Linked DNA regions of Caenorhabditis elegans. The protein of the gene in region 2 purifies or fractionates together with the protein of the main gene of each other region. This does not show direct contact. Each region holds a gene or a part of one and is shown on either strand. Other genes may lie near its edges. The genes, in order: sar-1, sec-24.2, usip-1 and uda-1.

Region 1 (4,223 bases), 7.8 Mb from region 2:
GCAGCCAGCCGTCGTCGGTGGAGGATACTCGGCTACCGAGGCCCCAGCCAAGCCAGATGGTGGATACCGCACCCACTAAATTTCTTTTTAGTTCCCCCATAGGTGCCCCATTGCTCTGATCTCGTTTTGATTGTTCGCCAACAACCACCCTCGACAAATCTGCTCAAAACATCACAAAATTCTCGTCTTTTTTTTGCCTCGTTCTTTCCTTTGTCTGTATATACTGTTGCCTTATTTTATTTCTCTTATATATATTTTATTATGTCATTTTCGTGAGTAGTAGACAACAATTCACTGACTGAAATTGTCTAATTTCAAATAAAATGGTGATTTTAGAAAGTTTAATTTTTATTTGTTCAGGGAAAACAAGAATCCGGGTCTCGACACGGCCGAAAATTACTGAATCGAAACTGCAGAGATGAGTTTGAAACTGCAGAGATGAGTTATGTGCCTTTAAAAATACAGTAGTTTTCGGATTTTTAATTTTTCCTGTCAAAAAAATATTTTTACAGGTTTTTGAGTTAAAAAAAAACGAAAAAATCGTAATTTTTGAGGCGAAAATACGGTACCCGGTCTCGACATGACTATCTTTGTTAAACACAGAAAGGTGTACTCCTTTAAAGGAGTACTGTAGTTTGAAACTTTTGGTGCAGCGGAATTTTCATCGATTTTTTGCAGTTTTACTCGCGATTTGCTAAATAATATTTATGTGTGTTTTTTTTTATAATTGACCAGCCGGTGTCGTTCGAGCCTACGGCTCGACCTACTCCGACTGGCTTAAAATAAAGTTCGAAAAAAAAAATAAATGAATGAACTTGATTTTTTTTTTGAAAATGAAAACTTTCAAACTAACGTGAATTTTGCGTGTTGGCATAGCCTACATTGGACGGTAGGAAACTCTACTTTATATTTTTTTATAATTGATACACCTATTTTTAAGAAAAATATGAGAAACAATGAAAATTGTGCAACAACAGAAGTTTGAGACTACAGTACTCTTTAAAGGCGCACACCTTTTTGCAATTAACAACAAATTGTCGTGTCGAGACCGGATACCGTATTTTGCCACAAAAATGACAAACCTTCGGGTCGCGGTATTAGTTTCTCCCATGGTATTAAAAATTTCATTTTTCAGTTTCTCAAAAATTGAGCGGATTTAAAATCGAAGAAATATACCGTAGTATTTAAAGGCGCACGCTTTTTTTGAGGCATTAAACAAATTATCTGGCGTGTCGAGACCAAATGTAGCTGAATAAGTTTTACTATTTTATAAATTCAAATTTCAATGAATAATTTCAAAAGAAAAACATTTCCTTCACGTTTTCTTTTTTATCGAGAAAAAACCATGCCATAAAAACTCTTTTCAACATTTAAATTTTTTCGAATCAGTTTCAAAAATCGATTTTTCGAAGTGATCTGAACATTTTTCATTAAAAGGAGTTTTGGCGCGTAAGTTTTATTCTTTAAACTTTTTATTTAAACGAAAATTTAATTTTCCACCGATTATTGTTGAAATTTAGGAGTTTTACATTGTAAATGCCAATTGTCTTTCCATTATGTTTCGTCTCTACTTAAAATTTGTGATATTTGTCGAATTTTGCATGCCTTTAATTGTTATTTAAAGCTTAAGCGTATTTTCTCCATTCCGCACGGAAAGCGCGCCTTTCATCCTTACTGACGCATTTCCCGACGCTGGCGCACTTCTCGACCATCTGCCACTTTGGACACGTCAGCGCTTTCCGGATTCACTTTAAATGAAGCTTTCCTGGTCCCGAATCGCCGATTTTCAGAATTAGAATTTTTTGATTATCACACTGCGTCTCTTTTCTCTTTTCGGGTACACGTGGAAGCGCGTGTCGTTTTGTCTCTGTGTAGCACGCTACACAGAATGTCTCCGCCTCGTTATTTTCTCTCTTTTCCTCTTTTCTCACCCCCATTTAACCACTAAAAGTTCCCACTTTTGATCTATTTCAGTTCATTCATTTATTCTCTAAAAAATGCCTGATTTACCCGATTTTTAAGTGATTTAATTAATAAATTAATTGCATAATTTTCCAGATTCAATATGTCGTTTTTATGGGACTGGTTTAATGGAGTGCTCAACATGCTGGGTTTGTAAAACTGAATTTTACCATCATAAAACCTTTTATTTACAGGATTGGCCAACAAAAAGGGAAAATTGGTATTTTTGGGACTAGACAACGCTGGAAAGACTACACTGCTTCACATGCTTAAAGATGATCGTATTGCTCAACACGTTCCCACTCTTCACCCAAGTAATTATCGCTTTTTATTGATTTTAAAAGCAATTCCGGTGTAGTTCAGCCTGTTAAAGGAAGGAATCTTACTTTAAAAAAATGATATCTTTCTCTTCTTTACAGCTGATTGACCGGTTTTGCTTATCATCTGTCAATTGCTAAAGATGATGACGCAAAAAACTAGTTGTGAGAATTATTGAATTGATTATTTTTCAGCATCTGAGCAAATGTCACTCGGAGGAATTTCGTTTACCACATACGATCTCGGTGGTCACGCGCAAGGTATTCACTCGTTTTTTCGGTTTTTTAAACTAATTTTCTTCATTTTTCCAGCACGACGAGTCTGGAAAGATTACTTCCCTGCCGTGGACGCCGTCGTCTTCTTGATCGATGTGGCCGACGCCGAAAGAATGCAAGAAAGCCGTGTTGAGCTCGAATCGCTGCTCCAGGACGAGCAGATCGCTTCCGTTCCAGTGCTTATTCTCGGAAACAAGATTGACAAGCCAGGAGCATTGAGTGAGGATCAGCTCAAGTGGCAACTCAACATTCAACATATGTGCACCGGAAAGGGTTGGTTTTTGATTGGAAATTATCGCTTGAATTTATTTAAAAAACGAAAATCTTTATAGGAGACGTTTCCCGCAACGAAATGGCTTCTCGGCCGATGGAAGTGTTCATGTGCTCTGTTCTTCAGCGACAAGGATACGGAGAAGGAATCCGTTGGCTTGGACAGTACCTGTAAACAGATCAGTTCTTGAACTCTTCTTCTTCTGCTCACTCCTTTTTTATTCCATTCTCGAAAAAAGCACCATTCTCTTACATATTGCGCCGCCAACATTTCCCATAGATTTGTTGTACGTACTTGTCATTTTCCTTCGTTTTTTCTTTTGGGATCCTTGGGATCCTCATCATTAAACTTCTCATGCCTTCGACGTTTGTGCATAAAAAAGCAAGCCGCAATCCCATTTTATTTTATTTATAAATTTTGACTTATACGGACTTGTAAAAAATTCACGGCGTCCTCATTGTTTTTCTATTCTCCACAAAAATTTATTCAAACCTTTTCCTCATCTATTCCGTATTTATCACATCACTATCATTCAAACATCCCCATTTTTCTTCTCGTCCCACTTCATTTCCCCCTCAGATTTTCTAATTTTTTATTTCGGTTAGTTCTATGTGAATGAAACAGCTTCGGAATGTTGCAGTTCGAAGTTTTCCCAGAAATTATTCTCTTATCACGCTACTCACAAGAAAAAAAACGTCACGCCATATAGTTGTTTTCTTTGTGGCGAGCTTTAACTATAGTTATAACTGAAACTGAAAAACTTGGAATTTGAAAAGAAAATTGTTGATCGGAGTACATTTGATCACAAGGGCCTGTAGTCAGGCGACATGGTCAAACATTCCATTATGTGGTTTGTGTTCCAAGTGGTCAAACGGACACATTTCTATTTCAGGTGCGGAAAAAAAATTAATTTCAGATCAGATAATTGGCTATTTTTCCAGAAGAACCTTTTCGTCGTAGTCTCACAGATGGCTTCTGCAGTACATTTGAGTGCACACAGCTCACTCCAATTCTCTATTCCTCCACTCTCTCGACGCAATGGTGTTCGTGTGCACCCACTACGAATATCCAATAATCAGGGAAGGGAACCTCCTTTATTCATAGAATTTTAAATAAATATTTTGAATTTATCATCATCTATATTTTACTTGTAAACTCTATTAAAATAGTTTTATCGTCAAAATACTTTGAATTCGATAATTTTGCGGGAATTGTTTTTTTCAATTTTCAGATTAAAAAGCGATAAAAACCATGTCATTATTCTCGTCACTTGTTCATAATGTACGGGGGCAGGTAAAAATATATTAAAATATTAATTTGAGCAGAAAATTTGAACTTTTAGCTAATCGCTCGAATAATATCGTTCGCTATAAATATGTATCTTTTGCGGAGGATCA
Region 2 (7,998 bases):
TGAAAGCTTGGTTTTTTTCGATTTTCAAGGAACCAAAATTATTTTTTTGCTTGCAGAATGAATAATTAGTAATTAACTTTTTTTCAAAAATACTCCTCGTGCAACTGCGCTCTACCGCACCACCATCCTTTTTCGTTGATTCTACAATATTCGAGCAATTTCTGAATATTGAGCATAATCTTTTTCAGGTGACATTGAAATGAACGTTGCCACATCGAATCCAAATCAAGTGCATCCACATTCAATTGCCGTATTTCCACCAGAAGAACAACAGACAACATCTCGACATTAAACAATATTTCCCCCTCCAACTGAGACCCCCCATTATATAATTCCGCAAGCTCTGTGATATTTGTCTCATTGATCCGGTTATTTATGTCTTTTCCAATCAGCCGGAAAATCATAACGAGTATTTATTTTTGTGTATAATAGTTTTGGTTTTTTGTTTCAAAATTCAATGTTTTTTCAACTCAAAAACCATAGATCCTTGGAAAAAAAACTTGATAATAAAACTGTTCACATGAGTTTTTGCTACAAAAGTGCAAAAAGCAACAAAAAATCGTAATAAATATTGCTATTTTGAAAAACCAAGAAAAAAGTAACATTAAAATCCTAACGGGGGTCGGCTGGATGATTGAACAGGAAATTTGAGGGGAAGGAAAAATGATAATAATAATAATTAGAAATACACTTTGGTATTTATCACTTTATCGATTTTTGGAAGAATTTTGGAAGACGGGCGACAAATAAAATGTATGGTGAGGCAGGGCCAAAAATGGTTGAAATATTTAGAGGATTTTCAAGAGACGGGGAGAATAATCACAACTAGAAAGAAAAAACACAAAATCAATTGATAAACCCATATCCGTTCAACTCGAGCACATTGAAGAAAGAACGGAATTTTCAAAAAAAAAAGAGAAAATAAGAACAATAATAATAATAATTACGGAGAAAGAAAAAACACCAAAGCAAAAAAAGACATGGGACACTGTTGGGAAACGGGAACAAAAAAGAGGGAATGGATATGTCACACGGATGAACTGACTGATGATGGGAACGGCATGGAGGATGAAAATTGATCAACTAATTACCACTAATCTCTCGTTTCAAATGCTGCAGGAATTCTACATATGAATGTGTTGATTCTGACCGATCATCGACAAGTCGCCGTACAAACACGTCACGGAGAGGCGAGTGTTCTCTGCAAAAATTAATTTTTTGAGCAAATCTGATTTTTCCATCAAAGCTTTGAGTGAAACTTTTCAAGAGATATTTCAGATTTTTCAAAGCAAAACTCTACAAAGATTTATGTTTCAAAATACGATACCCGGTCTCGAAGCGTCCTCAAATTCAAATCAAAGCATGCGCCTTTAGGGAGTACTGTAGCTGATAACAATACGTTTTTCACCCGTTTCTTAAATCTTAAGTTATTTTACACATTTGCACAAACTATACGATAAATTCTTTAGAAATGTGTAAAAACGTATACCACGCTCAAAACATAGAGTTTGGAGTAGCCTTTAAAAAATACAGTAGTAATTTTAAAAAGCGTATATCCTTTTTCATTTAAACAAATACTTGGTTGTGTTGAGATCGAAAATCGCAAATTTTTTCAAACGGCTCTGAGTTTTTATTTGGCAAAAAAATTTAGAAAATCAATAAAAACTTTTTTTTCAATAAATGTTAAATTAAAGACTTACTTAATCGTTATTATTGGTCCCAGATAGAATCGGAATTGTGTGACTTGCTTGAAGAACGCGTGCACTCTTCTCGACAATTCATTATCTCTTTCCAGAAGGGAATACTGTAATTTAAAATGTTTTTAAAACTATTCAATTGAAATCTCACCTCATCAATATCATTATACGTAGAAGTTCCGAAAACATTAACCAGGAAACCTGGATCTGCGGATGAAGCCACGTAGACAAAGGCAATAGTACCAGTTATCATCAGATAGACACCTCCACGACTGATATGCTCGAATGATAGTGGTAATGCTGGTGGCGACTGATCTTCTGGCATTGAGGCGAGTTCGTTGAGCCGATAGAGACGTGGATAAATGTCAGACAGAATTTGGTCCAATGGACTGAATCGCATCATCAACATTGCGCCGGCTCGTTCATCTAGGCGGATGCCACGAGACGAGGAGAATGCTGGCTGAAAATTAATTATTTAAATTTATTTAGTTTTTACAAATCAAGGCTTACATGTTTGAGCATAGCCAGCACATAACTTGGGAAGAGCCGAAGATGACCGACACGTGGAACAAGCATTCCACTTCCTCTCGATACAGCCTTCTGATATGCTCCAACACTGTCGACAACTGCATTTACAAGTGCTTCTCTTGAATCAGCAAGTGAACTTCCAGTCATAGATCGTTCTACTCCAATTTTAGCCAGATAGGATACCGTAGCTTTCAGATCAAAATTATTGTAAAGTTGAAGTAGATCACCAGTTGTTGGAAGGCACATTGTATGTACTCGAATACGACGATCACCTTTACTCGATGTATAGAGTAGTGCTGACTGGAAGCATACATATTGCGGAAGCTTCTCTTCGAGTGTCACTTGAGCCGCAAGTGCAGAATCTGGATTCACGTTGGCAAGTGCCAAAAGATCTGGAGATCGGACGAAGAAGTTTCCGTAGAAACCGGTTAGAGCGAGGCCACGAGACGTTCGAATACGAAGAACTGCTTCAAATCCGAGTTTTCGTGTCAAATATCGAGTGAGAGTCCGTTCGAATCGTTTTACTTGATGGATATCATTTCGATAGTTGTAGTTCGGGAAATGGTAGACACATCCTGTCGAGAACTTTGCAATTTCAGCTGAAAATGGAATTATTTTCAATCATTTTGAATTTAACTTTCAAATTTGACAGACAATTTGAAAGCTGCCCCGGATTTGTGGTGTTTCAGACATTTTCTACATTTTTTTAACGAAAAACTGGAATTTTTTCGGATTCAGCATCTACAAATTAACACCTTAAAATCGAGAAAAAAAATTTTGGAAAATCGATCTAACTACGATTTATTAACTGTTTGATTTTTTTTTTTAATTTTCCAGGTATCAAGATAAAAACTGTATTTGCAGAGGTTTTTTGATACACCGAATCTGAAAAATGTCAGTTTTTCGTTTTTAAAAAATTTGACAGCATCCCCTCACCAATAAAAGGAATTCTCCAAAAAAACCTACAAAGAGTTGCCAAATCAGCATATTGCGTGTTGAACATAAACAGATCAAGGCAAATCTGCGATCCGGTGCACTCTAACGATAGAGCTTTGTAGAAATCGGTTGCTGGCCCCAAATTCTGACCACCTTCCGTCGATTCTTCTCTGCTTTTCAGTGCTCCTAATCCAAGATTTGGTAGGCTGACTTGGAAGATTGATATCCTTCCTCCAACTTCTTGTATCATGCTCTGCGCGAGCTTCAATGCAGATCCGAGGCAATTTCCATTTGAAGTTGGGCCGATTTGAGAGTAGAATTCGGGAAGTTGCTTGATAAAAGTTCGAATTGTATCTTTGAATTTCTTCATAGGAACAAGCAGTGATGTGACTGATGGAAGAAAAGCGTCATCGATATCGTCTACAATCATTTCATTCGGATACCGCTTATTACTAGAAAATGAGAAGAAATGCAAGCATTGATCGACAGCAATGAAGCACACTTGAGAACGATCATCTCCTGGCATTTGATCTATATTGATGAGAAGTTGCTCGGCAAATGTGTGTAAATAGCCTGATTGAATTGCTGCAGCACTAATATCAATCACGAATACATAGACAGCAGGTTGAGGTGGACGTAACTGAAATCGCTTGTTTAAATTTAGAAAAACATCGTTTAAAATATGAAAATACCATGTATTCCGATGGAGCAATAAATTCAACCGTCGCATTTTGAATTTCCGGTCTGTTTCGAGGATCTCCGAATGCTTTTGTCACTGGGTCCCAGCAGAAATCATCAGGCACTGAAAACAAAAAATGGTTTTCGCATTTTCTCAATTTCACATTTTTCAGTCAACATACGGTCGTTATTTCTATTACAGAGATTGCATTTCCAGTGTCGATGATCAGGAAGATATACATATGGATTAATATATGTCCGACAATACCGACAACGTACAATATTCGATGTTTGTATAATATTGAGATTCTTAACATCTCGGAACGGATGAAGTGTTATTGCAAATGGTAATCGACTCTTTTTCAGTAGTTCTTCTGTTTGTGGAACTTGGGCGAGTGTTGAGCGGAAAATACTGAAGAGAAAATTATTAATATTTCTAATATCTGCAATAGTAACGATTCTGGATTTTTGCTTGTATAGACTCAAAATTTGGTCAGATGAACCAATTTCTTGATGCGAGATAATCGATCAAAATATGCAATAAAGGATTTAAACTAAATAAAAGTCAAATTCCGACAGCTGCGATTCGAGATTTTAGCTGATATCAGCCAGTAGCGAAGGCATTTTTGAGAAGTCTCACTACGAAATTCGTCCATTCGGCCACATTTTGAGTTTATTTATACAAACAGAATTCCTTCTTCAAGAGAAAATCCTCACTTTGGATCAACATGAGCATTCGGATTCGCGACTTGTTGAGGAATCTGAATCTCGATATCTTCAAAACCAAGTTGTTGAACATTTCTTTCAGCAATCAGATCAATTATATCATTGCGATACCCGCCCATTTGTTGCTGAGGACCAGGAGCTCCGCTCATGTTCTGAAAATCAACTTTATACGGGGAAATAACAAATATGAATAAACCATTTGTCCAAATTGCTGATTCATATTTTGCATTTGAGGTTGTGGGACTTGTGGTTGACCATACTGTGAATTTTGCTGTGGCTGGGGAGGATATCCTTGTTGCTGTGAAGCCGGAGGATAAGCAGCTGGTGCTTGAGGCCGTGGAGCCATTTGTTGCTGATAAGAAGGCGTTGGAGTTGGTGCCGGTGGAGGTTGAGCAGCAGGAAATGGAGCAGGTCGGGCTGAAGCAAGTGCAGATGGGATCGGAGGCTGAATACTTGGAGCTGCTGAACCAACTGATGGTGGTGGAGTTGGAAACGCTGGCGGTCGGGACTGAAATAAAACATTCAATTCTTCTGTATATGCAGTATTAACCATACCACAGCTGGTGGTGGTGGAGCATGATGGCCGTTCATAGAAGGCTGAGTAGCGGGTGAAAAGGACGGTGGTTGATGAGAAAATCCTGCAGAATGAGCTGGAAAAGCTGAAGCTGCAGTTGGATAATTTGGCGCAGCATGGTTATATTGATAACTTGGTGCTCCATTTGGGATTTGAGATACGGGTTTCACCTGAAAATAGAAAATTAAGGAAGGAAATGGAAATATGAAAGTAAAGATGAGAATCAATACATACCGGCTCTTGCGAAGTCGTTGCAGTCGGAAAAGGAAACGGATTGGCTGCATAATTGGGAGGAGCATTATTTAACGGAGCCGCAGATGGTTGAGAAAACTGACTGAATTGTTGGACGTGTTGATATTGTTGATTCTGGTTTTGACCGTACGCCTGCGGAAATCCAACGTTTCCCGGCGCTGTCGGTATATTCGACATCCGTCGATAGCTCGTGTAACCCGCTGAAATTGTATAATGAAATTATATTGCGAGAAAAGAACAAAATAAAACAAGTTCACAACGGTAGATAAATATTTAGCTGACGAGACGAATGAACGTGGCGAAAGAAATTTAATCAATAACTTCAGAGAGTACGGTAGATTTAGATGGGTGCAAACAGAATGACGAACAAATGCACAACTAGAGAAAATCAGTGATCACATTTTTTTCTAATTTTTTTTGCGCGAAAAACCAGCATACTGCTGAACAAATATAATTTATTTTTGGCGCAAATATCGTTTAAATGTTCACTTCAGTTTTTAAAGTCATTATTTTCATTTTCAGCAAAGTTTATAGCGTTTAATAATTAATTGCTCTTGAAATTTGCCTAACTTCGCAACGCTTCGAAATTTCGCGACTCTCTTCTCACCGGCGATCTTTAGAATAGATTTTACAACGTAAACAAAAATATTTATGACAATATTTTCTGATTTTGCTCGAGTATCTCATTGAACACGAAGAATTACGCCATGGAAGGCGACCTCAAGCGCGCGATGCACACAGACACTAGCGTCTCGCGCTCTTTCTCTTTGCCTCGCTGGAAATTCTTTTTCATTTTGCCTTCTTCTCTCGCCACACATTGGCGTCGTCGGTTTCTGCTTCATTGTGAAACGTGGATTTTGCGCTGAAATCAATAAAATCACTGTTTTCTCGCTTTCTCTTTTACTCTTCACTCTCACTCTCAATTTCCACGTAATCCTTGAAATAATTCAGAGGAGCGGAACAAAAAAGAACATTTACTGTACGAAAAATAGGAGAAGAGGTGGAAGAATATCGCCGAGAGGGAGGCCCTCGTATGAACAAAGCGAGAGAAGATCAGCAAGATGTTAAATAATTTTCATAGCGTTCAACACAGGTTTTATTAGTAAGTGAGAAGAAAGTTCCAACTCAGCAATTGGATCAAAAATCGATAATGGAGGGTGTTTTGAGTGTTTTAGTGTAATATAAATGAAAAATTGTCAATTTGATAAAGGTTTCCGAATGTGAAAGCTTCCCCCGAAACTGGTGTTCCTGGATTCTGTAAAAAGTGCGGTTGGCAGAAAACATTGAATGCATACCGTAGTTAGATACGCAGGCATCGCCGCGTTCGCCCGGCCAAGCCTCTATTGGAGCGACCGCCACCACCGCAGAGTGAGAGCGGACACCGTTCTCCAATTGTGTTTCTTAAAATAACAATATTTTGTTACTATTTCAGCCAAACAATCACTTCTGGCGGATGACCGGTATTTTAAATGGTCAGAGTGTTAAAAAGGTACTTTTTGAACCGAAAAAGTGTCATTTAAATGTATCTTGTGTCAATTCTCGAGAGAAATTCCACACAATTTAGTTAGAAAAACTCAAACTTACCTTTTAATAATTTTAAAATCACATTTTGAAAATTTAATTAAATAAAATTACTATTTAGATCAACATAAAAACGGTTTTAATTTTTTAAACTGAAATTCAAAATTTTAAAATTAAAATAAAATAAATTCATAAATTAAAACTATCTGTTGACTTTAATAATTTCAAAAAAAAAAAATTAAAAATGTGGTTATGCCAGTGGCCAGCGTGTATCTCTGATGAAATCATCATCGGTCGCTTCAATATCGATTTTTCGCGGCGGGCCCGCCATCTGCCGTGTACATTGTCGACCACGGACACAGACAGAGCATCATTCATTATTTTTTAACTTTTTCTAACCTACCTGTTAGTACTTTTGTCGGTCGGTGTAAGTTTTCAAGATTTTATCAACACCGAAATTAGATACGGATGATTTAAATCGGGTTTCGTAAGAAGATTGAAAATAAAGTTAGCAAATATTTTCTAAGCTCGTCGTCACAATTAAATCGATAATATGAAACTGAACTCTATAATGAGGCTTCTCAAAAAAATTCCCAAAAATTCTTTGATGGTGGGTAAAAATTAAAAAAAAAAGAGCCATTTTTTGCTAAAATCTAAAATTTCGTCGCCCTGTCCTTGTCGCAGCAGCAGGAATCTAGTTTTTCTCCCCTTTTATTGCATATTTTCTTATAGTGTGTTAATTCGATTAAGCACATTTAAAGTCGATAGGCATTCAATTATCGATTTGAAATGTGCCAAAATCTACGAATTAACGCGATATACGCGACGAAAATATGCAATAAAAGGTTGTTTTGGGTCAGTTTTAGTATTTTTAATCTAAAAAAATTCATTGGAGAATGTTTTAAATAAAATATTTTAATTTCAGTGATGTAATGTCATCAGGAGATATGACATCGGAGTACAAGGACAAACAAGGCGGAGGAGCTGGCCAGCCACTCACAAAGTCTGAAAACAACGATGGAAAAAAGACGTTAACCAATGGAATGAGTCGAGTACATCGAGTGTTAACTGAAGACGAAATTGCCA
Region 3 (5,370 bases), on a different chromosome or scaffold from region 2:
ACTTTGTGTTGAATACTCGAAATCAGAATCTGGCCCACCGGGACAATAGACACAAATGTTTCCAGTGAAATTGATGTGAGGACAACGATGTGGTTTGCTCATCACTGCTACAACAGCAATTCCAGAAGCAGTTCGAACTGGTTTTGCCTTGAGTTTTGGAAGAAGGCTGTCTTTGTAATCGGACGGAACTCCAGCGATAATGTCAACGAGTTTCGGTTGAAAACTCAGTCCATTCTTTTGAGCAACCTGAAAATATTTATTGAAATGTGTTTTACCGCCTAACCACATACGATGCATTTCAGCCGATTCAAGTTGACATCCTTTTTTTGATTGTGAGCTTCAATAAGAAGCTTGACAATTTCATTTATTGTTTGTGCCAGTAGTGCTCTTTGTGAACCCTTCTGATCCATCTGAATACAGTTTTGATACATTTCCTATTCAAATTGATGTTTTAGATATAAATTGGAATATTAACCGACAATGAACTCAAAAATCGCTTTCAAGATGACCAGTGTATTTCAAACTTAGAAATTTCGATATACATAAATAGAACACAGACCGAGAAGTGATCATGAAAGTTGGGTGTTGAATATAATAAAGCGGAAAAATTATTTGTTGAGATTCAATGGAAAATGGTCACTGGGTGACGTGTCAGAAAAATACCGGAATAAATATGAAATAAAATATATGGTGGATCATACATACAAATCGAATTCATAGAACACTTATACATTGAGAACATGATTATGGCCAAGTTGGGGCTGCAATTGGAATCCTGGAAATGGTTTGAACGCCATTCTTCTCGAGGTCATCGTAGTTATTGTTAATGAATTGATCAATCAAAAAGTGGATTGCGTCGCGAACTTCGGAAACTTGACCACGCATTATATCGATGCATGCCAACCTAATTCTGGTGCCAGGAACAGTGCTCATCGAGATACGCAACTCCGCAATATCTTCTTCGTAATCGTACTTGTCACTGCACATAACATCAATCTGGAGAGGCGTCAAATCGTGACGAGAGTTTTTCAAAGCGCGTTTCGTATTGCGACGTCCAACCCAAGCTCTTGAAGTTACAAGGAAAATGGCACCCTGAAATTAATAGTAGTTGTAAACGTCACATTCTTTCTATTCTATAGAACTAACCGTTGGAGTACATAAATCAACAACACTGGGTCCTTGCTCATTCGGACAGACATTAAAGCGAAGAACTCTAGTAAGAAGGAGGAAAAGATCACTCGAGGTTATCACCACGGCTGGAAGTTGTACTGACAAGTACTGGTGCTCGGCTCCATCAGTTACTCTAGTTGATATACTGATTTTTGGCTCTCTGCTCTTCATAAGCATAGTAGCCATCGTGTTGGTTTCCAGAAGATAGTTGATGTGAAAATGATTTTGTTTCAACTGAAAATATAACTTTTAATCCATAAACAATCAAAATAATGCTTACAATGAAAAGAGCGTTCCGAATAAGACCATTTAGTAGTTTGACCGCGTCTTCTGTTACTTTTGCCGAAATATTATGAGTAATATCCATGGGATCCATCAACATCAACGGAGATTCTTCAACGCCTCCGTGCGCACTTGAGAGTGTTTTTCTAAAAAAAAATATACAAATTAGTTGTGAGAAATTAGTTTTTAACTTACTTTTGCATCGCTTTCTTCCCGTAAATCGCTTTGTTCGTAAAATCAAAGTTGGCATAGTATTTGAAAAGCTCTCGGAAAAACTTGCAATAATCGCCGAACAGAGTGTCAAAGTTGTATTCATTGACTCGAGAATCTCGCTTTGCTTGAGGATTCACATGAACCTTGTTGGTTGCTGCTTGAACAAAATGAATAACGAGCTGATTGATGATGTAAGAGTTCAGCTTTGTCTTGACTTCAAGCTTCTCTTCCTAAAATAATGAAGTTTAAGAACTGCCTAATTCAATATATAATTACCGGATAGTCACCCGATAGCAACTTATTTGATTTTGCCCAGTGTACGATGAACATCATTGCATTTTTCATTCTACTTCCCTTCGACTTGTCTTTTACGATGAATTCATGCAACAAGCTCGCCTTCTCAACACTGATTTGATTGTGAACTGATAGATCGTATGACACCTGAAATGAATGAATTATCAATGTTTGAAAGCGTCAACATACATTCATTCCTTCCACTTCGATATTTTTGAAGACTATGATTGGAGTGCGTGCAGGTAAGAAACGCATCTCGAATTTAGTTTTGAATGCACTGTTCTCGTTGAAGCACCGGTAGAGAATTTTGATAATTTCCTCTTGTGGGTATGTCTCAAGCTCCGATTTGGTTAGTGGATGAGTGATGAGACACTGTAATTGTATATTGTTTCAGGACAATTTACAGTAATTTTTGTACCTTTGGATTTGCCACAACTTCGTTCAATGGTCTTACATTTGTAGAAACGCGTTGACCTGGAGCGCTGACTGATTCCACGTTAATGTCCTAAAAACATTATTGTTTCTTAATAAAATAAAATAAAATTATTTTTCTAACAACTTACAATGTCTGAGTAACCATTTCGCCGCACCGGTGATGCAAAAGAGCCGAACATCTCACAAGCAGAATTTTGAATGAGCTCAGAAACCCCTTGTTCAATGAAGGAAAATCCATCTTCGAGAATTTTTAAGCGTTCAGGAAGTTCTTGACAGATAGCCATTGTCAACACTTCCAAAAGCTCGTCGTTATTGAAGTGCGGTTGCGAAGTTTTCATGAAATCAATGGCATCTTGAAGTCTGAATCCGTTCAAGCCTAGAAGGGGAGTGAACACGATTTTCGTCTGAAAATAAAAGGAATTGTATACAATCAGCTAAAAATAATTATTTACATTGTTGATTGCAAATCCTTTAGCGATGGAATCGTGGCAAATCCTGTTGGCTTCATCTATTGATTCCATTTGCAATATCATAAACTGATCTTGATCTTCAGGTGTTGGAGAGTATCCTATTTTCTCCTAAACGGTTTAATTTCAAATGCTTGTTTTCACAGCATAACAATATTTTTTACCTTACAACCAAGTTTATACTCAACCGACTCCACGAAGACAACGACAGCAATTGCAGAAGGAACCATAGCTGTCGTATCATTTCGATTCCAACGAGCAACAACGAATTGACGACTATCAAACGTTTCAACCAGTTGCAAGTTTGAAGACATTATCGCATAACTGAAATATCTGGAAAAATATATAATTTTAGGTAAACAAAGAGGATGGAGAATGGAATCATGCGTTGCCATGGAATCGAATACACTAGGGAATCTTCGTCGAAAATTCGAGCAAAACAATTTTCATTATAATAAACAACACATTGCATTTTGTTATAGGTTACAAATTAATTGGAACGTGCGCATTCAGGGATTTAAATTTTGCGTTTATCAGAATAATAATAAAAAAAGAGTAACAAATTTTAAATAGATTCGCGCAATAAAAAAGTTTTTCGAAAAATGACTGAAAAACTGAGTTGATAAACTACACGCGCATCGTTATATCGGAGTGTCGTAAGTGGCGGATTTTCAAATAAATTTTTATTGACAAATTTTAGTTGTGGACCTAGTACTAGTATGTATTTGTCTAGTAAGTTTTCTCTGCATTGCCTTTCTAAAGGGAAAAAGTTGTTTTTAAAAAAAATTATTAAATAAATTTTATAAAATTGTCTTAGAAATTATTTGCATTGATTGATCAGAATCCTTCTAATCAACCAAAACTTATGCCTGCTTAAAAATTATAAACATCATTCCATAAACATCGGTCTTTCAAAGATTGAATTTGAATTAATAATATTTTTTATTTGGAATTGAGTTCGTCTACAAACGAAAAAATAAACGGAAATTCGATTCTGATTGCTGGGATTCGAATAAAAGGACAAGCATAACATAAATCGGAAATCGAATTTAGTATATAAATGTAAAAATATCAAAAATGTACAAAGATGTTCCTTTTGGTTATATTTATTCTACACTATGTGCTCGCTTTTCTCGGAATTGTTTTCAATACGATTTTGATTTTTCTAACTTTATTCAGAAGCCCTAAATCTATTGGAACATTTTCTATATTATTGACTGTCAGAGGTGGATCTGATGCACTTGCTTGTTTTTTTGATATTTTCAGTCAATCAAGGTAATTTCCAAATTTTATTTTGCATTTCCTAGCAATGCACCATGTTCTCGATATGCTCTAGTTTCTTCCAATAATGTCAAAATTAAGCAGGGCCGTTTTCATGTTTTCCACGCTTATATATAATTCATGAGATTACACTTTCAAAAAAGAACCCAAATTTTTTCTTTATACTCCAATGGCGAGTTGAGCTATATATAATTAATTTCAGATTAATCCCAAGTGGTACAACACTTGGAATTGCTTCAACTGGACTTTGCAAATATCTCAGTGAATGGTCTTGTTTTCTGGGTTTCAGTCTTCAACTTCATTTTCATTCATATTCTTTTCATCTTCTAATTCTCTGTTTTATATTCCGATGTTATGTTCTTCTGGAAAGATATCCAAAAGCTAAACAGCTTATCATTTTAATTTGCATTATATACTTCCCATCATACTTGCAAGCAATTTTCGTATTCATTGATAACAACAAGCCAGAAGATGTTCGACAACTTATTCAAATTCATCATTCTCAATATAAATTACAAGATTTTGTTATAAATGGACATGCTGATCTTCGAGAATTTCCGTGTTTGTTTTCATATCTTCTAATGCTTATTCCAATTATCCCTGGATATTTGATTATGTATGGGCTCCGCCGAAAAATACACTTCAAGTTACGAAATGCAATTCTCCGTCCGGAAATTCGAGAAAAACATAGACAGCTGACTTGGGTTAGTCTGAAAATGTAAATTATTTTGAAATATGATTTATTGCAGGCACTGACAGTTCAGACTATTGTTCCAATTGCTTTTATATTCTCATCAATTTGTTTCCTACTTGGTCAGCTGAGGATCGTTGAATCTCCAGTTCTTGAAAGTTTCACACTTCTTTTTGCCGTTTTGGTTCCCGTTATCAATCCATTGATTACCGTTACTTTTATCAAACCGTATCGAGAATCTGTCATGAGAGCAGTTGGAATTGATCCTAAAATTTTGATTTTCATGTCACGAGAATGTTCTGTTGCACCTGGTGATACAAATTCTTCAATGTTTGGTAGTTTTGATAATTCATCAGTTGCATCAGTTACATCAAAATTCACAATTACATTGGAGAAAGGCACATTTGACTGAATATTCCAATTAAACTTTTTAAAAAGTATTTTTCATCCACCTTGTGAAAACGACTCATTTGATCTCAGTGATGATCATGTTTTCTATTTTATAAAAATTTTATTGGATGAACTTATTATTTACAT
Region 4 (5,585 bases), on a different chromosome or scaffold from region 2:
AACAAAAATCTAGAACCATATAAAATTTAGATCCAGCTTTCCGAATTTGAGCAATTGTAGTACAAGACTGATATAATGTCAAACGGTATTATTTTTGTTTGTTCGATGTTGCAATGATTACCTTTTAAAATCTGGTCCTCCTTTTCACTAAATTTTGACAAGTTTTGTAATGTGATTATCATTATTCGATATTTTACTCAAACATACCTCTACTTGAAAATAAAACTATATGTCTCTATTAGTTTTGCACCTCAATTTTCAATTTTCTGCTCATATTACGGGAACATAAAATTCTGAGAATGCGTATTGCGCATCATAATTGACGCGCAAAATATCCCGTATCGAAAACTACAGTAATCCTTTAAATGACTACTGTAGCGCTTGTTTAGAATTTGATTTTGGAAATGTAAAAAATTAGTTTCTTCGTAATATTTCTTTTTTGCTTGATTCTATCGATAAATCCATTTCGAAAATCGAGCCCCTAAATCGACATCTTGTGATCATGGTAACCGATAGATTTTCAGATTTTCAAAAATTTATAGATTTATTGAAATACGCTTATTCAGAATTGAGCGCTGCCAAAAAAAGTTACGTTTCTAGCAAATTGAAAATTCCAGCTTTCTTCGCAATATATTTATATATATTGCGCAATATTAATAGCCCCTGAACGAAAGTAAAATCTACCAAATACAATAACTTATTTAAACTGGAAAACTAAAAATGTTTTACAACAAATATTCAAATGTTAACATTTCAATTATAAAATGTTTCATATTTTATCACTCGGATTGTTCACTAGATTCTCTATGTTTTTCCCTAACTGATTGACTTTTGGATGTATGTATGTACAAAACAGAAAAGGAATGTATTTTATTGAGAACAAGGCAATGCCGCAAAACTAAATGAATTATATAACATGGGTAAAATTTAAAAATAGTTCAAAAGTGAACATATGAAAACTCGTAGTCTGATTTCGAATCGATGATGGTTTAGGATGTGGTTGCATAAAAGGTCTACCCGAATAAGAACGGTAAGGAATGGAAAATAATCACAGAATTGAAGGTATTAGACGATGAGGTTAGACGGAAATAATATTAAAATATGAGAGTACTTGATTTGTGCCTGAGTACACTAAATCAAAGATCTGGTCAACTACTGTAGAGTTTGGTTCCGATGAGAGTGCAGTTTTGATTGCTCCTTCTGTTAGCTGAAACTCGTTGGCAGTTGCAAATGCAAGTCCTTGTCCCCATGAAACCTCCATTCCTTTTATTTTCTTGGCCAACTGAAACAAGATTGGATTAGTTTCAAAAGGTTATTTTTCATAGCAATATAATAATTGAAATAATGACTTACCACGAGAGGCTGATTATCTTCGAACTGATATCCATCTCGCAACAGAGAGTAAATATATGTCAAATCAAGACACTGCCAAGGCATCCAGTGACTTCCATCGTCGATTTCAGTTTTTTCCCTTCGGCAAGCAATTTCCGCAGCTTCTTTGAATTGCCTCAACTCGATCTTTCCACCTTCGTTTCCTTTAACAAGTCCACTGTTCAAAGCACGATCAAAGAAGTACGAGAATAAATAAACTGGAGATCCCTTCAATTCTCGCAAATGCATGATTTCACTGGATTCTACAAAATTCTTTGTGGTACCATAGCAACTTTCGAAGGAGTGCGATGAAGAACCACTGAAAATTTAAAACTTAATTTAATGATCAACAAAACACGCATTTCTTACTTGATATTCCAAAACTTCAATGCATACTCCCATTCTGTCAGCTGATATCCTTCAGGCATACAACTTGTGATCAATTGATGAGTTGATTCGATTTCATTATCAGTTTCTAATTGAAGAATGTTCAATCGTGCAGCAATCAATCCATTTCCAAGAAAACTATGAGTGAAAAGTCGAATATGATGTCCGAAGAAATCTATATCTCGTTCATATCCAACATGCTCCGAAAAAACAGCTTCATTATTTGGCCAATAGGTGAGCTGGGTAGATCCTCCACCTAAATCGAATGCAGCTACTGAACGATGTGCTGCTGGCTTATGACCGACGGTAGGCTCATCTGAAATATGTTTTTCACTTATTAATATGATTTAATTGAATACTTGGTTTTAGATACCGTACTCGTAGATATTTTAATGAAATGTAATATTTGACTAGTTTGATGTATTAAACTATTTTCGATTAAAACTAGTGACGCATTTCTTATCACATTTTTATTTATGCTTCGGTTCTTCTTCTTTTTCTTGTTTTCGAAAGTCGTTCGAAAATCATTTTCAGACGTCAACGGAAAACTAGAAACTTTTTTGAAAAAGTGTGGTTTATCTCGGAATGACTTGTTGCAGATTCTCCAACGCAATGCGAAACAAATAATCTTTTTTTAAAAATTATTTGATGATTTGATATTTGACCCTGATAATCTTGAATGATATTTGCTTGCATAGCCTACGTGCTAAATTTCAAATGACACACTGTTCAGGATGCTCCTAAAGTAAATAGAGGCAACAAAATGGAAAAAATAGCTCACCGGTGAAAAGAGTTTCGAGAAGAATATTAAGTGTGAACCAGCTGTACACACCCTCATCGCTGCCTGGCATTACATTAACGGCATCCGGGAAAGCGGCAAAAAATCCACTGTTAAATATCCGCTCTTCTACACTTTCAAGAATATCGTCGGCCATATCTCCAGGTAGAAGACGTAGCCCAGCTGTGGCTTTCAATGTGATCGGCGTCTTTTCCCACATGAAATGAGGAACTTCTTTTCGAGCTCTTTGAAGAAGTGGCTCCAGTGAATCAGCGGCAGAGCTCGGAGATTTCGCAAACGAAGAAAGTCCTGGTTTCACCTTAAAATTGAAAATAAGGTTAATATAACATTTATCTTATTCAATACCTCTTGAAATATCTCTTTTTCAACCTTAAAAGGCATACCATGTGAAGCTATTGCGGGATCATGAATAAATTTATATAAATGTAATCGTGTTCCTGTGGATCCTGCATCAATTACTATCGTGAAGAATCGACATGTGTGTTGCTAAAAATAAATTCATTTTAAAATGTCGCTACAAACTTCGCATCAATTTCTTATCATTTCTCTCTGTCTTTTGTGAAAGATTTTTCATCGGTCAAGCAAAACTTTGTGTAAAAAGGTATCGCTTGCATCCATCTCTTTCAAAGAACAACAACGTTTTTCCGTAGACTTCGTTCGATATTTTTCTATTTTGAGATCTGAAAACAGGCAAAAAAAACTCACATTGTTTAGAACTCCGTCGCCATGACACCAGTATTGGGTTTTTGTTGTTACCACAGATAAAAGTGAGAAAAAGGAAATGAGAAGAATTGAAAAAGCAGGGAATAGCATGACGTTGATTTTCGTTATGTGTCGCGAGTAATAAAAGAAGCGAACCCGACTTCAAGAATCACAGATTATCGATTTAGGCAGGGTAGAGATCTCCTCTATAGAGAGGAAATGGAATGAGGTTGCTCGAAGGCGGAGTTCGCTTTTTTCACATTTCACAATATTATCAAACTGACGAAGAAGAAGAAGTTGGTGAAAACGGTAGTGTGGGGAAGTCTGTAAAAAACCGTTTGTCAATCAAATAAACAGATGCGGGAAAGTCGAGAAAAGAGCAAATAAATGGGAAGAGGACAAGTGGAATGAGAGATTGACCTAAAAATGACTGGTTAAAAACAGAAAGTAGGAGGAGAACGATAATAATTGTGTGACAACGTGAAATTTGTAGTTTATAGTGTAAAATAGAAAGTGTTGCATTCATGTGATTTTTCTTTAGCCTTTGGTAATGAAAGAAACATGTGAATAAATGGAGGAATATGTGTACCAGCAGTTGTGACAGCCATTTGGGGTGCAAAAACCAAAAAAGAATTCGATTGAAAATTGGAAAATAAAATAGTTTAAAATACACTCAAAATAATAAAACTGCGTGGCGTGTACTGCAGAAAACCTCATATTTAGGCCCCGCCTTTTTCTCGTCCACTCACGGAGAAAAGGCAAAAATTTGGGGACCAACCAATATCAGGCCGCCGACATCCTACGGGTTCCGCGCGCCGCTATGTTTAACTCGCAGCGGGCGTGGTGAGCTGTCTCCGCCCGCTGCGAGTTAAACATAGCGGCGCGTGGAACCCGTAGGATGTCGGCGGCCTGATATTGGTCGGTCCCCAAATTTTTGCCTTTTCTCCGTGAGTGGACGAGAAAAAGGCGGGGCCTAAATATGAGGTCTTCTGCAGTACACGCCACGCAGTTTTATTATTTTGAGTGTAATATAGCTCTAAATGAGAATTTCTCATGAATTATTTTATGAAATAACGAGAAAAGTACTATTCGTGAGAAAGAAACGAAAGACGAATATGGTGAAATTGAGAGTTTATGATTGCTGATAAGTTATTCTTATTCTGATAACAACTCTGTTTTTTTTTCAGTTTTCATACTTTCATGGGAGAACACATGGTAGTTTTATCAACCAGTGAAGCAGAGCATTCCCTACTTTGAGCTTGGTATTTTTAGACTAGTTTTAATAATGCTCAGACATGTTTTTTCATCAATATGTCCGCGACAGACAGAATTTTATCAAAGACGAGTGATTGACATCAACGAGACGAATTGAATGGACAAAGAAAGTTCAAAAACGCAAACGTATGGTTGTATGGTGTCAAATGTTTATTGCTCTTATTGATGATGGTGTAGAGGATTTAAAAATGAGATGTAAAAGAGATTGAGAGAAAGCTGCTGGTGAAGAAATTGAAAAGATTCGAAAAAAATTATCTGTTGGGGTTTCCGAGAGGAGTACACGTAGTGCAATGCATTTACGCTCCAATGGATATGCAAGAGAGATTGGAGGCGGTGAGAAGTCAGACATAACCATATATGGTTTAACTTGACGAATTTTTGGAAGATTGAGATGAATATATATTAATATTAACATTATTCAGAATGGTTGATCAGAACGTTCATATTTATATTTATTCTCTGCTTCTCTGAAAGACAATAGTAATCACAAGAGAATGTTCTTCAGTTAGCATAGAGAGTAGGCAACTGAAAAAAGCTTATTGATAATATAAGTTTCGTTTGTTCAATATTTATTGGGAGTTTCAAAAAATTGTTCAAAAGTTTACCATTCTTTAAAATTGATTAAATATTACTTTAGGATATCAGGTTTTTACTATAAGAAAAATAATGTAATCACTATATGTATAGTACTATACCTAGTTTATGAAATGTTCTACTTTTCCAACCGATAAGACAAACTAAAATGAGAATTGGAAAGAACAATCATGTCAGTCGATTTTGTAGCCAGCCGCTGAAAAAGATGACGTCTCTTTGTAGAATTCGAAGAAGATGTCCGGTGCGTTTAGAGTACCGGCCACAAACTGGTTTCTCTCACCCTCTTGTGTCCACTACATCCCTCTTCTGTCACTCATATCTCATTTTCCTTTCCGACAGCAACGATCTAACATTGCAAAAAAGATGAAAAAAACGAATGGCAGATGCAGATGCAAATGCAAAAGGAACCAATTGTAATGTAACAGACAAAGTACGTTTATGAAAAGAACGTAGTATT

Evidence for each region.
Region 1: the proteins of sec-24.2 (region 2) and sar-1 fractionate together in Caenorhabditis elegans (co-fractionation; one large-scale study listed by BioGRID). This does not show direct contact.
Region 3: the proteins of sec-24.2 (region 2) and usip-1 fractionate together in Caenorhabditis elegans (co-fractionation; one large-scale study listed by BioGRID). This does not show direct contact.
Region 4: the proteins of sec-24.2 (region 2) and uda-1 fractionate together in Caenorhabditis elegans (co-fractionation; one large-scale study listed by BioGRID). This does not show direct contact.

What each region holds. Positions count from the first base shown.
Region 1 is NC_003282.8:4,511,155-4,515,377, reverse strand, and holds sar-1 (Small COPII coat GTPase SAR1), read left to right. Parts: upstream 1-2,058; 5' UTR 2,059-2,065; coding exon 2,066-2,111; intron 2,112-2,156; coding exon 2,157-2,276; intron 2,277-2,474; coding exon 2,475-2,540; intron 2,541-2,591; coding exon 2,592-2,828; intron 2,829-2,887; coding exon 2,888-3,000; 3' UTR 3,001-3,485; downstream 3,486-4,223. Other genes in the region: ZK180.5 (Prion-like-(Q/N-rich)-domain-bearing protein), read left to right, coding at 1-79; ZK180.8 (uncharacterized protein), read left to right, coding at 3,795-3,938; rfth-1 (Man(5)GlcNAc(2)-PP-dolichol translocation protein RFT1), read left to right, coding at 4,078-4,119, 4,169-4,223. UniProt on the Caenorhabditis elegans protein: Small GTPase that cycles between an active GTP-bound and an inactive GDP-bound state and mainly functions in vesicle-mediated endoplasmic reticulum (ER) to Golgi transport.
Region 2 is NC_003282.8:12,355,202-12,363,199, forward strand, and holds sec-24.2 (uncharacterized protein), read right to left. Parts: upstream 5,592-7,998; 5' UTR 5,569-5,591; coding exon 5,374-5,568; intron 5,310-5,373; coding exon 5,121-5,309; intron 5,074-5,120; coding exon 4,762-5,073; intron 4,718-4,761; coding exon 4,557-4,717; intron 4,252-4,556; coding exon 4,022-4,251; intron 3,964-4,021; coding exon 3,854-3,963; intron 3,802-3,853; coding exon 3,192-3,801; intron 2,825-3,191; coding exon 2,208-2,824; intron 2,158-2,207; coding exon 1,849-2,157; intron 1,805-1,848; coding exon 1,701-1,804; intron 1,202-1,700; coding exon 1,084-1,201; 3' UTR 501-1,083; downstream 1-500. Other genes in the region: best-22 (Bestrophin homolog), read left to right, coding at 189-292; ZC518.8 (Glutathione S-transferase), read right to left, coding at 6,563-6,646, 6,687-6,707.
Region 3 is NC_003283.11:12,181,001-12,186,370, forward strand, and holds usip-1 (U6 snRNA-specific terminal uridylyltransferase), read right to left. Parts: upstream 3,195-5,370; 5' UTR 3,176-3,194; coding exon 3,026-3,175; intron 2,973-3,025; coding exon 2,847-2,972; intron 2,799-2,846; coding exon 2,523-2,798; intron 2,465-2,522; coding exon 2,378-2,464; intron 2,332-2,377; coding exon 2,149-2,331; intron 2,107-2,148; coding exon 1,942-2,106; intron 1,896-1,941; coding exon 1,648-1,895; intron 1,599-1,647; coding exon 1,451-1,598; intron 1,405-1,450; coding exon 1,147-1,404; intron 1,093-1,146; coding exon 745-1,092; 3' UTR 501-744; downstream 1-500. Other genes in the region: elpc-3 (Elongator complex protein 3), read right to left, coding at 1-246, 291-410; srd-4 (G protein-coupled receptor), read left to right, coding at 3,949-4,136, 4,345-4,846, 4,892-5,245. UniProt on the Caenorhabditis elegans protein: Acts as a specific terminal uridylyltransferase for U6 snRNA. Responsible for the addition of UTP at the 3' end of U6 snRNA which stabilizes U6 snRNA. Does not have activity towards modified uridine containing 3'-monophosphorylation or 2'-O-methylation.
Region 4 is NC_003283.11:10,002,753-10,008,337, reverse strand, and holds uda-1 (Nucleoside-diphosphatase uda-1), read right to left. Parts: upstream 3,584-5,585; 5' UTR 3,371-3,583; coding exon 3,263-3,370; intron 3,044-3,262; coding exon 2,903-3,043; intron 2,856-2,902; coding exon 2,540-2,855; intron 2,075-2,539; coding exon 1,741-2,074; intron 1,691-1,740; coding exon 1,354-1,690; intron 1,283-1,353; coding exon 1,079-1,282; 3' UTR 856-1,078; downstream 1-855. UniProt on the Caenorhabditis elegans protein: Hydrolyzes UDP and GDP but not any other nucleoside di-, mono- or triphosphates. May promote reglycosylation reactions involved in glycoproteins folding and quality control in the endoplasmic reticulum.